Linked DNA regions of Canis lupus familiaris. The protein of the gene in region 2 purifies or fractionates together with the protein of the main gene of each other region. This does not show direct contact. Links are inferred from orthologs where the notes say so. Each region holds a gene or a part of one and is shown on either strand. Other genes may lie near its edges.

Evidence for each region.
Region 1: the proteins of KATNA1 (region 2) and KATNBL1 purify together in Homo sapiens (affinity purification with mass spectrometry; 3 studies listed by BioGRID and IntAct, counting the BioPlex papers as one, with this or other methods). This does not show direct contact. The link is inferred for Canis lupus familiaris from reciprocal best matches to the Homo sapiens genes KATNA1 and KATNBL1.

What each region holds. Positions count from the first base shown.
Region 1 is NC_049251.1:1,134,767-1,139,308, forward strand, and holds the start of KATNBL1 (KATNB1-like protein 1), read left to right. Parts: upstream 1-1,518; 5' UTR 1,519-1,802; intron 1,803-4,542. Other genes in the region: EMC4 (ER membrane protein complex subunit 4), read right to left, coding at 813-927, 1,245-1,330.
Region 2 is NC_049222.1:40,671,186-40,674,997, reverse strand, and holds part of KATNA1 (katanin p60 ATPase-containing subunit A1), read left to right. Parts: intron 1-1,003; 5' UTR 1,004-1,016; coding exon 1,017-1,178; intron 1,179-3,175; coding exon 3,176-3,333; intron 3,334-3,812. UniProt on the Homo sapiens protein: Catalytic subunit of a complex which severs microtubules in an ATP-dependent manner. Microtubule severing may promote rapid reorganization of cellular microtubule arrays and the release of microtubules from the centrosome following nucleation.

The DNA.
Region 1 (4,542 bases), on a different chromosome or scaffold from region 2:
GAAAAATGATATACTTATCGAGAAAAGCACTGAAAAGCTGTCATTTTCATCTAAAAAATCACTGCATTTAATGAAATGAAGATCATTTAGTACTGAACAATATTAAGGATAAGAGGAAAGAGTGCCACCTGTTCTAGGTGCTTGGGAGACAAAACCTACTCTCATGGACCTTACCACTTACATGGTAGTAAGTATAACATATAAACTAATACGAGGAAAGGATAAGCAGGATAGGTAGTGCCATGGGGTTTCACTGTGAAGGTAACATGCGAGCGATCTAAAGGAGACGCCAGAGCAAGTCCTAAAGGTATCTGGGGGAAGAGTGTTCCAGGAAGAGGGAAAGAACATGTACAAGCAGTCCGAGAGAGATGGAAGCCTGCCCGCTATTTTCAAGGAGCAGCAAGGAGGCCATTCTGACTAGAGTGGAATGAAGAACAAACGGGAAAGTGGTAAGAGATGAAATCACTCAGAATGACAGTTAAAACAGGAAGCAGTGAAAAACAGCAAATTTTTCATCTGTCTCAACATAAAGCAAAAAGAATATCCTGACACACTGGCTGTGTGGTTGTAAGGGAACTAGAGTAACTCTTACGCGCTGGCACTAATAATTTTCAACCTAGTTATACGTTCAAACATCTTATTTTTCCAATTATTAAGCGCTTGTACTACTGTAAGTTAATCTCAAGCAGTTTATCTACCCATATTAGGGATAAGCCTCCTACAGTTGGCTATTCATATGCTGCCTGGGACGGGAGGGGGCCGTGCAGGGCAGAGCCGGGCTGAGCACGGCTGTGACAGCTGTACCTCTGTACCTTCTCCACCAGAATGCGGTCCGCCTCTTGCACGCTGGTATCCGGCACTTGCTTGTCCAAATAACCGACGGGGTACAGCGAGTCTCCCTGGCCACCGCCCCGGTCACTTCGGCTCCTAAGGAACCAAACCAAGAAACTAAGGCTGCAGCCTCCCACCCTTCACATTCCACGTTCCCGCTCCACTAACCATGGAATTTTCCAAAGACCCTAAAATACACCCGCCCAGATTAGAACACGCCGTCTCGTGGGTTCGTCAGACGTCTGCCTATCGAGTGAGTGAAATCAGGATCCTCGGAGGATTAGAAAGCTCCCCGGGGCCCGTCTTTGTGCCACCCGTCATTCTCGGAGGGTTGGACCTGGGGTCAGGTCCCGTTCCCGGGCGACCGTTCTGGTTGAAGGCTCGGGTTACCGAGCTCCGCCCCGGCTCCTCACCTGCTGCCTCCTCCAGGCCCGCTCAGCTCAATGGCCCACTTGAAACGCCGGCCTCGGTTGGCCACCAGGCTCCCCTGGGCCGTCATGGCACCCGCCTCCTACCGGAGCAGCGAACCTCGTCACTCCCCGGCGGGGTCCAGGCCCTGGCCCCGGCCCCGGCCCCGGACGCCGCTACGTCTGGGTCTCCCCGCGGCCCGCTTCCGGCGCTTAGCATAGACGTCACTTCCGGTCTGGAAGTGGGCGGGGCCTCCGCGGGGGCGGGGGGCCCCGCCGCGGAGGACGGCCGGCCGCGGCTCCCCAGGTCGCGCGGCCCTGGGGGTGTATCCCGGGAGCCCCGACGTGCACGCGAGCGAGCGAGCGGGAGGCGGGCTGCGGTGCGCCCTGCCCCTGCGCTAGGGGTGAAAGCCGAGCTCGCCTTCTCGAGTTCCTGCGCGCCCCGGAAACACGAGGCGCAGGCCTCGGCTTCACGCCCGGATCCGCGTGGGGTCCTCCGACCGGGAGCGGGTTCTTGACTGGCTTCCCGAGGCGAACGAGCGCCTGCCAGGTCCCGGGAGTTGGGTCTGTGTTATTCAAGTCACATCAATCCTGCTGATGAAGTTTTGGAATCGGGGTGGGGGGTGGGGTGGGGTGGGGTCCGGTCCGCAGCCCACGACCGAGGAGGAAGTCTGGAGACGTCTTTGGTGCAAAATGGTGCTTTCATTAAAGCCCGGGACGGGACCTGGGGGCAGGAAGGGCTGCAGCCCCCTTGGGTTCCCGGGGGTGGCTGACGCTACACCTGGGGGCTGGGGGCTTGAGGGCAAGGGAGGCTTTCAAACGAATGTCTGTAGGCTGACGCGGGCCTCGGGCCTCGGGCCACTGGCGGCCTTGCCGGCGGCCAGTTAAGGCGGTTCTTCCTCTAGTAAAGCGTTAACGTTCGGACGGTTGGGCGTCTCCTTCTGGACGTTAGGCTGCTGATACGCATGCGTTTTTCTTGTGAATCACAAAGACCCCGAGGGACACTTGTGCCGTAGAACTGTAGCCCCTCGGTTAGCTGCTCTTCCTTTCCCTTCGCGTCAGGGCCGGCAGGAGCGCCTCAGGAGGCCACATCCCCTGGGGCGGGCGGGCCTCGTCGGCGGCGTGTCCGCTGAGCTCCGTCCTCAGCCTTGTGTGCCCTCGTCGCGCAAGGCGAATCCTTCTGTGACCTTGCTGCCCCAGAGCTGGGAGCAGTGCGGACGTGGGCAGCTTATGGGCTTGACATTCAGATGGCCTCCCTCGGATCCTGGCTCTTTACTTACTTGTGTGACTCTGGACACGTTAGATATTTAGGGCTTCAGCCTCTTCGTAGGTAGGAGTTGGATAATCCACCTGCTTTAGGACGCCTGGGGGGCTCGGCGGTCGAACGCCTCCCTTCCGCTCGGGGCGTGACCCCGGGGTCCCGGGATGAGGCCCGCCCGCCCGCCCGCATCGTGCGCCCTGCAGGGAGCCTGCTTCTCCTCTTACTGCCTGTGTCTCTGCCTCTCTCGGTGTCTCCCATGAATAAATAAATCTTTTTTTAAAAAAAATTACCTACTTGCAAGGCTTATGAGGGTAAAAGGAGTGCCTGCCACGAATGCTTTTTTTTTTTTTTTTTTTTTGATTAAAAAAGTACTCTAAAGAAGCGCCTGGGTGGCACATTTGGTTAGGATCCGCCTTCAGCTCCCATCATGATCCCGGGGTCCTGGATTGGAGCCCTGCATCGGGCTCCCTGCTCAGTGGGGACACAGCTTATCCCTTCTCCCTCTACCTCTGCCCACTCCCCCACCCATGCTCTCTAGCTCTTACTCTCTTTCAAATAAAATCTTAAAAAAAAAAAAAAAGCACACTAGCTATTGGATTTTTGTATTGAGTTCTATACCTATATAATAATATAACCTGTTATGGATACTTGTTTCCCGTTTTTTTTTCCCCTTTTATAAACAAACAGTGTTTATTAACCCTATGTCTTTTCTTACTAAAATTCCTAAGAATGCAGTTGCTGGATCAAAGATTGCACGTTTTTTTTTTTTAAGATTTTATTCATTTCTTCACAAGAGCCACAGAGACAAAGAGGGGGCAGAGACACAGGCAGAGGGAGAAGCAGGCTCCATCCCAGGACTCCAGGATCACACCCTGGGCCGAAGGCAAGGTCTAAACCGCCGAGCCACCCAGGAATCCCCAAAGATTGCAAATTTTTAAGGAATTTTCATTTTAAATGTCTTCTAGCAGTATCCATTTGCACCCATTTGCATTCCACCAGCCTTATATTATTTTTAAATTGGTTTGAAAATGGTTCTGTATTTTCAGACTTTTATTCCTTTGACTCCAAGTTATCTGATATGGTCAGGGTTGGGGTGAGGGAAGAAGAGTGCTATGAGAGTCTGGTTGGGAGGTGAGGTTGAAAAGGGCCAATTAGAGAGTTTGGACCCTTGAAGATGATGGTGATCTAGGGACACAAGATTTCCATCCCCATTTTGTCTTCTCCTTTTAAAGATATTTTGTGTTCATGGCAGACTGTTTGAATAAGGTGGAAAAGGCTTTTCCCCTTCCAGTTCATTCTAAAATGTGTATTTATATGATCATAGGAAGACCAGACCTGTGGATTGCTTTCCTGCTTCTTTCTACTTTTCTGGCTTTATCTGTTATCTCTAATGAACCTTTGAGACTGATGTCAGACTGTACAAGGGTCTTGGCCCTATTGGGCAATCTTCTTTGTCCCAGAACAGTCTATGTAATAGCACTTACCAAATTGCACTTGTGTTTGTTGACGTCCCTTGAGCACGTATCTACCCTTCTTGCTGCACTATGCCCTAAATTCCTTTAAGTTAGGAACTACATGTCAATTATTTTGGATTCCACTGCCTAGAACATAATGTATTGAATAAATGTTTAGTGAATATGAGCAAGTTAATAGAAAGTAAATATACTATAATTACATTTATGTGAAAAAATGTAAAAACTCAAAGAGAATACATGTTAGGGTGTTATATATTCAATCAATGGTTTCCATGAAATTTTTTTTGATCAAACTATTGTCCTGCTTCTTAAATAAATTGTAAAGCGGGATCCCTGGGTGGCGCAGCAGTTTAGCGCCTGCCTTTGGCCCAGGGCACAATCCTGGAGACCCGGGATCGAATCCCACGTCGGCCTCCCGGTGCATGGAGCCTGCTTCTCCCTCTGCCTGTGTCTCTGCCTCTCTCTCTCTCTGTGACTATCATAAATAAATAAAAATTTTAAAAAATTAATCTTTAAAAAATTGTAAAGCAACACTTTTGAAAACATTGTCATTCGAATCATATATTCC
Region 2 (3,812 bases):
ATTCATATCCTACTAATACAGAGATTGTGCTTGGTTCTCAAATATAGAAAGTTCCAGAAAAGATGCAATTAGCATTTATTGACATGCTATTATTATTTTTATTTTTTTATTTTTATTTTTTTTTTTCATTTATTTATGATAGTCACACAGAGAGAGAGAGAGAGGCAGAGACACAGGCAGAGGGAGAAGCAGGCTCCATGCACCGGGAGCCTGACGTGGGATTCGATCCCGGGTCTCCAGGATCACGCCCTGGGCCAAAGGCAGGCGTTAAACCGCTACACCACCCAGGGATCCCGACATGCTATTATTATTTACCAAGTAGTATGCTAGATACTTTAAGTAGTCATTTATTCCTTACAGTGCAAGTCTTGGAAGTAGTACTGTCTCCGTTTTACGTATTTAAAAAGTGAAGCGTAGAAAAGTTAAGGGACTTGACCACAGTGGCAGAATTAGAATTCTAACCAAGAATTTTCTAACTTCAAAACATATACTTTCTGCTTTTCCACGCTACCTTCCAATAACTATACCTGACATTGTGCATTTGTTCACAGATGTTCAGTAAGACTTGTGTGTCATGCACCGAGGATACAATCTCACATCTTTCAGATGTAAATCCTGCTCTCCTAGAGATAAGACACATATATGAGTAACTGTAATTCAGAGTAGACAGCTGTCTTGAGTAAAAGGCCCTGGTAAAGTGCCAGGGGACTTTAGAAGGAGGAGAGTTTATTTCAAACTGAAAAGTTCAGAGGCTAGACATGCTGGGAGGACTGCCCTCTGAGCTGGACTTTGACGCATCAGTGGGGCTTGCCTGTGTGAACCAAGAAATTTCTTTGAAGGAGAAAGAGCATGAGCAAATATAGAGATGGAAAGTACACTGTACATGATGGTGAGCTTCTTGAAGGAGCCCTGGAAAGTATACTTTAGAAAAACTCTTTGTATACTTATTTTCAGGAGACATATAATATGAAAATGTTTCTTTCTTTTTCTTTTTTTTTTTAAGCTTACAGTTGAGCATGAGTCTTCTTATGATCAGTGAGAACGTAAAATTGGCCCGTGAGTATGCACTACTGGGAAACTATGACTCTGCAATGGTATATTATCAGGGAGTTCTTGACCAGATGAACAAGTATCTGTATTCAGTCAAAGACACCTATCTCCAGCAGAAATGGCAACAGGTGAGAATTATGGCTGCTGTGTGTTTTAATGGTTTAAAGATTCAGAAGACTTAAAGAGATTGTTGGTACTTTTTGAAGTTACACATGAAGAGTATATGGTTTGTTACATGGATTTGTATATAATGTTACTTGAAATTTGATTTATTATATTAGTAATAGTTCATATTCACCATCATCAATATTGTGAGTTCTACTCAGTTACAGTTTTTGAAATCTAATAGATTAAAAAAAGTAATGGTTTTGACTTTTTTTTTAAGATTTTATTTATTCATGAGACAGAGAGACAGAGAGAGAAAGAGAGAGGTAGAGACACAGGCAGAGGGAGAAGCAGGCTCCATGCAGGGAGCCCGATGTGGGACTCGATCCCAGGACTCTGGGATCATGCCCTGAGCCGAAACCAGAGGCTTAACTGCTGCGCCACGCAGGCGTTCCTTGACGTTTTTTCTAATCCCATTTTTTACCTGGTATAATTAGGATTGACTTTATTAAGCCATTGTTGAAACTGCAGATGACACCTGAATCTCTCATGGCTATAATATATTCTCTGCAGAATATTCTAAAGAAGACTATATTTGAATTCCATTTGAGGAATGTTAGTCTCTGAGGACCAATAGGAATTTACAGATGGAAAGTGTAGAAGTTGTAAGTTCCTTTGAAGGTGGCATTTCTTTCTTTCTTTTTTTTTTTTAATAACTAAGCAGTTTATTTTTTTTAAGATTTTATTTTATTTATTCATAGAGACAGAGAGAGAGAGAGAGAGAGAGGCAGAGACACAGGCAGAGGGAGAAGCAGGCACCACACAGAGAGCCTGATGTGGGACTCAATCCCGGGTCTCCAGGATCACGCCCTGGGCTGCAGGCGGTGCTAAACCGCTGTGCCGCCGGGGCTGCCCTGAAGGTGGCATTTCTAACAAGGGTCAGCTACATCAAAGAGGAAGGAATTACTACAGGATTTAATAGTCTTTTTGAACGGGTCTTCTCAGTAGAATGTTATCCCTCAGATTCTTGTAAACTACTTTTTTGATAGTATTCCATTTTTGTACTTAATTTCTTTAAAATGGAGAAATATCCTACCTCTTTGAACTTAAAACTTTTTCCCTAAATCTGCTTCTGCATATCCCTTACATTACCATAAGAGGAAAATATTTTATTTCATAAAGAGTCTTAAGTTTGTCACTGAAAGACTTATGTTCATAGGCTGGAGATGTTTTTTTTTTTTTTCTAAGTAGACTTCACAGCCAGCATGGAGCCCAAGGTGGGGATTGAACTCACAACCCTGACATCAAGACCTGAGCTGAGATCAAGAGTTGGACACTTAACCAACTGAGCCACTCAGGTGCCCTTGTAGACTAGAGACTTTTATCTTAAAAGTCTAAGCTTTTTTTTTTTTTTTTTTAAGATTTTATTTATTTATTCATGAGAAACAGAGAGAGAGAGGCACAGACAAAGGCAGAAGAAGGCTCCATGCAAGAAGTCTGATGTGGAACTTGATCCCAGGTTTCCAGGATCACACCCTGGGCTGAAGGCGGCGCTAAACCGCTGAGCCACCTGAGCTGCCCTAGATTTTTTATTTGAGTAAGGGGCAGGGGAGAGAGGGACAGAGGGAGAGAGGATCTTAAGCAGACTCCCTGCTGAGCACAGAGTCTGTGCTCCCACAGAGTGGGGCTCTATCTCACAGCCCTGAGATCATGACCTGAGCCAAAATCAAAAGCCTGACGCTCAAGAACCTGACATTCAACTAAGCCACTTAGGTGCTCCTATTTATTTATTTTTAAGGAGAGAGAACACATATGAGCTGGGGGAGGGACTTTGGGAGAGGGGAAGCAAATTCCTTGCTGAGCACAGAGCCCAAAACAAGGCGCGATCCCACAGCCAATCCCACAATCATGTGATTGTGACCCGAGCCAAAATCAAAAGTAGGACACTTATAACCAACTGAGCCATCCAGGCGCCCTGGTTACAGATATTTAAAGAGCCATATTCTCCCTTTAAAACCAGGTTTGGCAGGAAATAAATGTGGAAGCTAAACATGTTAAAGATATCATGAAAACACTGGAGAGCTTTAAACTAGACAACACTCCACTGAAAGCTGCACAGCATGAGCTTCCAGCTTCTGAGGGGGAAGTCTGGTCCTTGCCTGTACCTGTTGAACGAAGGTAAGTGGAGACCTTTTAAGAAACAAATTAGCCCAGGAAACTAATAGCATTGGCTATATCTAGGGAAGCTGGGTAGCCAAGAGACAGGAACGGGAGAGGATTTTTTTTACTGAATGCCTTTTAGAACTCTTATGTTGTGTATCATGTAACTATGACCTGTATCGATAAATTAAACTTAGGAAATATGCCAAAAATGCTTTTGTGAATGAGCTTATAGTAACGGAGACAACATTATCTTATGGAAATAACTGGGAATTGAAATATCTGGCTCTCATTCTATCTTTGCCATGCTTCTGTAGCTTTGGAAAAAACCTATAACCTTTCTAGGCTTCAGATTTTTCTTAGGTAAAGTGAAGGAGTTACATCAAAACACTGGTTCTCAAACAGCTATCACAGAATACTGCTATTCATGAAAATTATTAAAATGAAAAATAATGTGGCTTTTTAATTCACAGGATAAAAAGGATAAAATGTTCTCT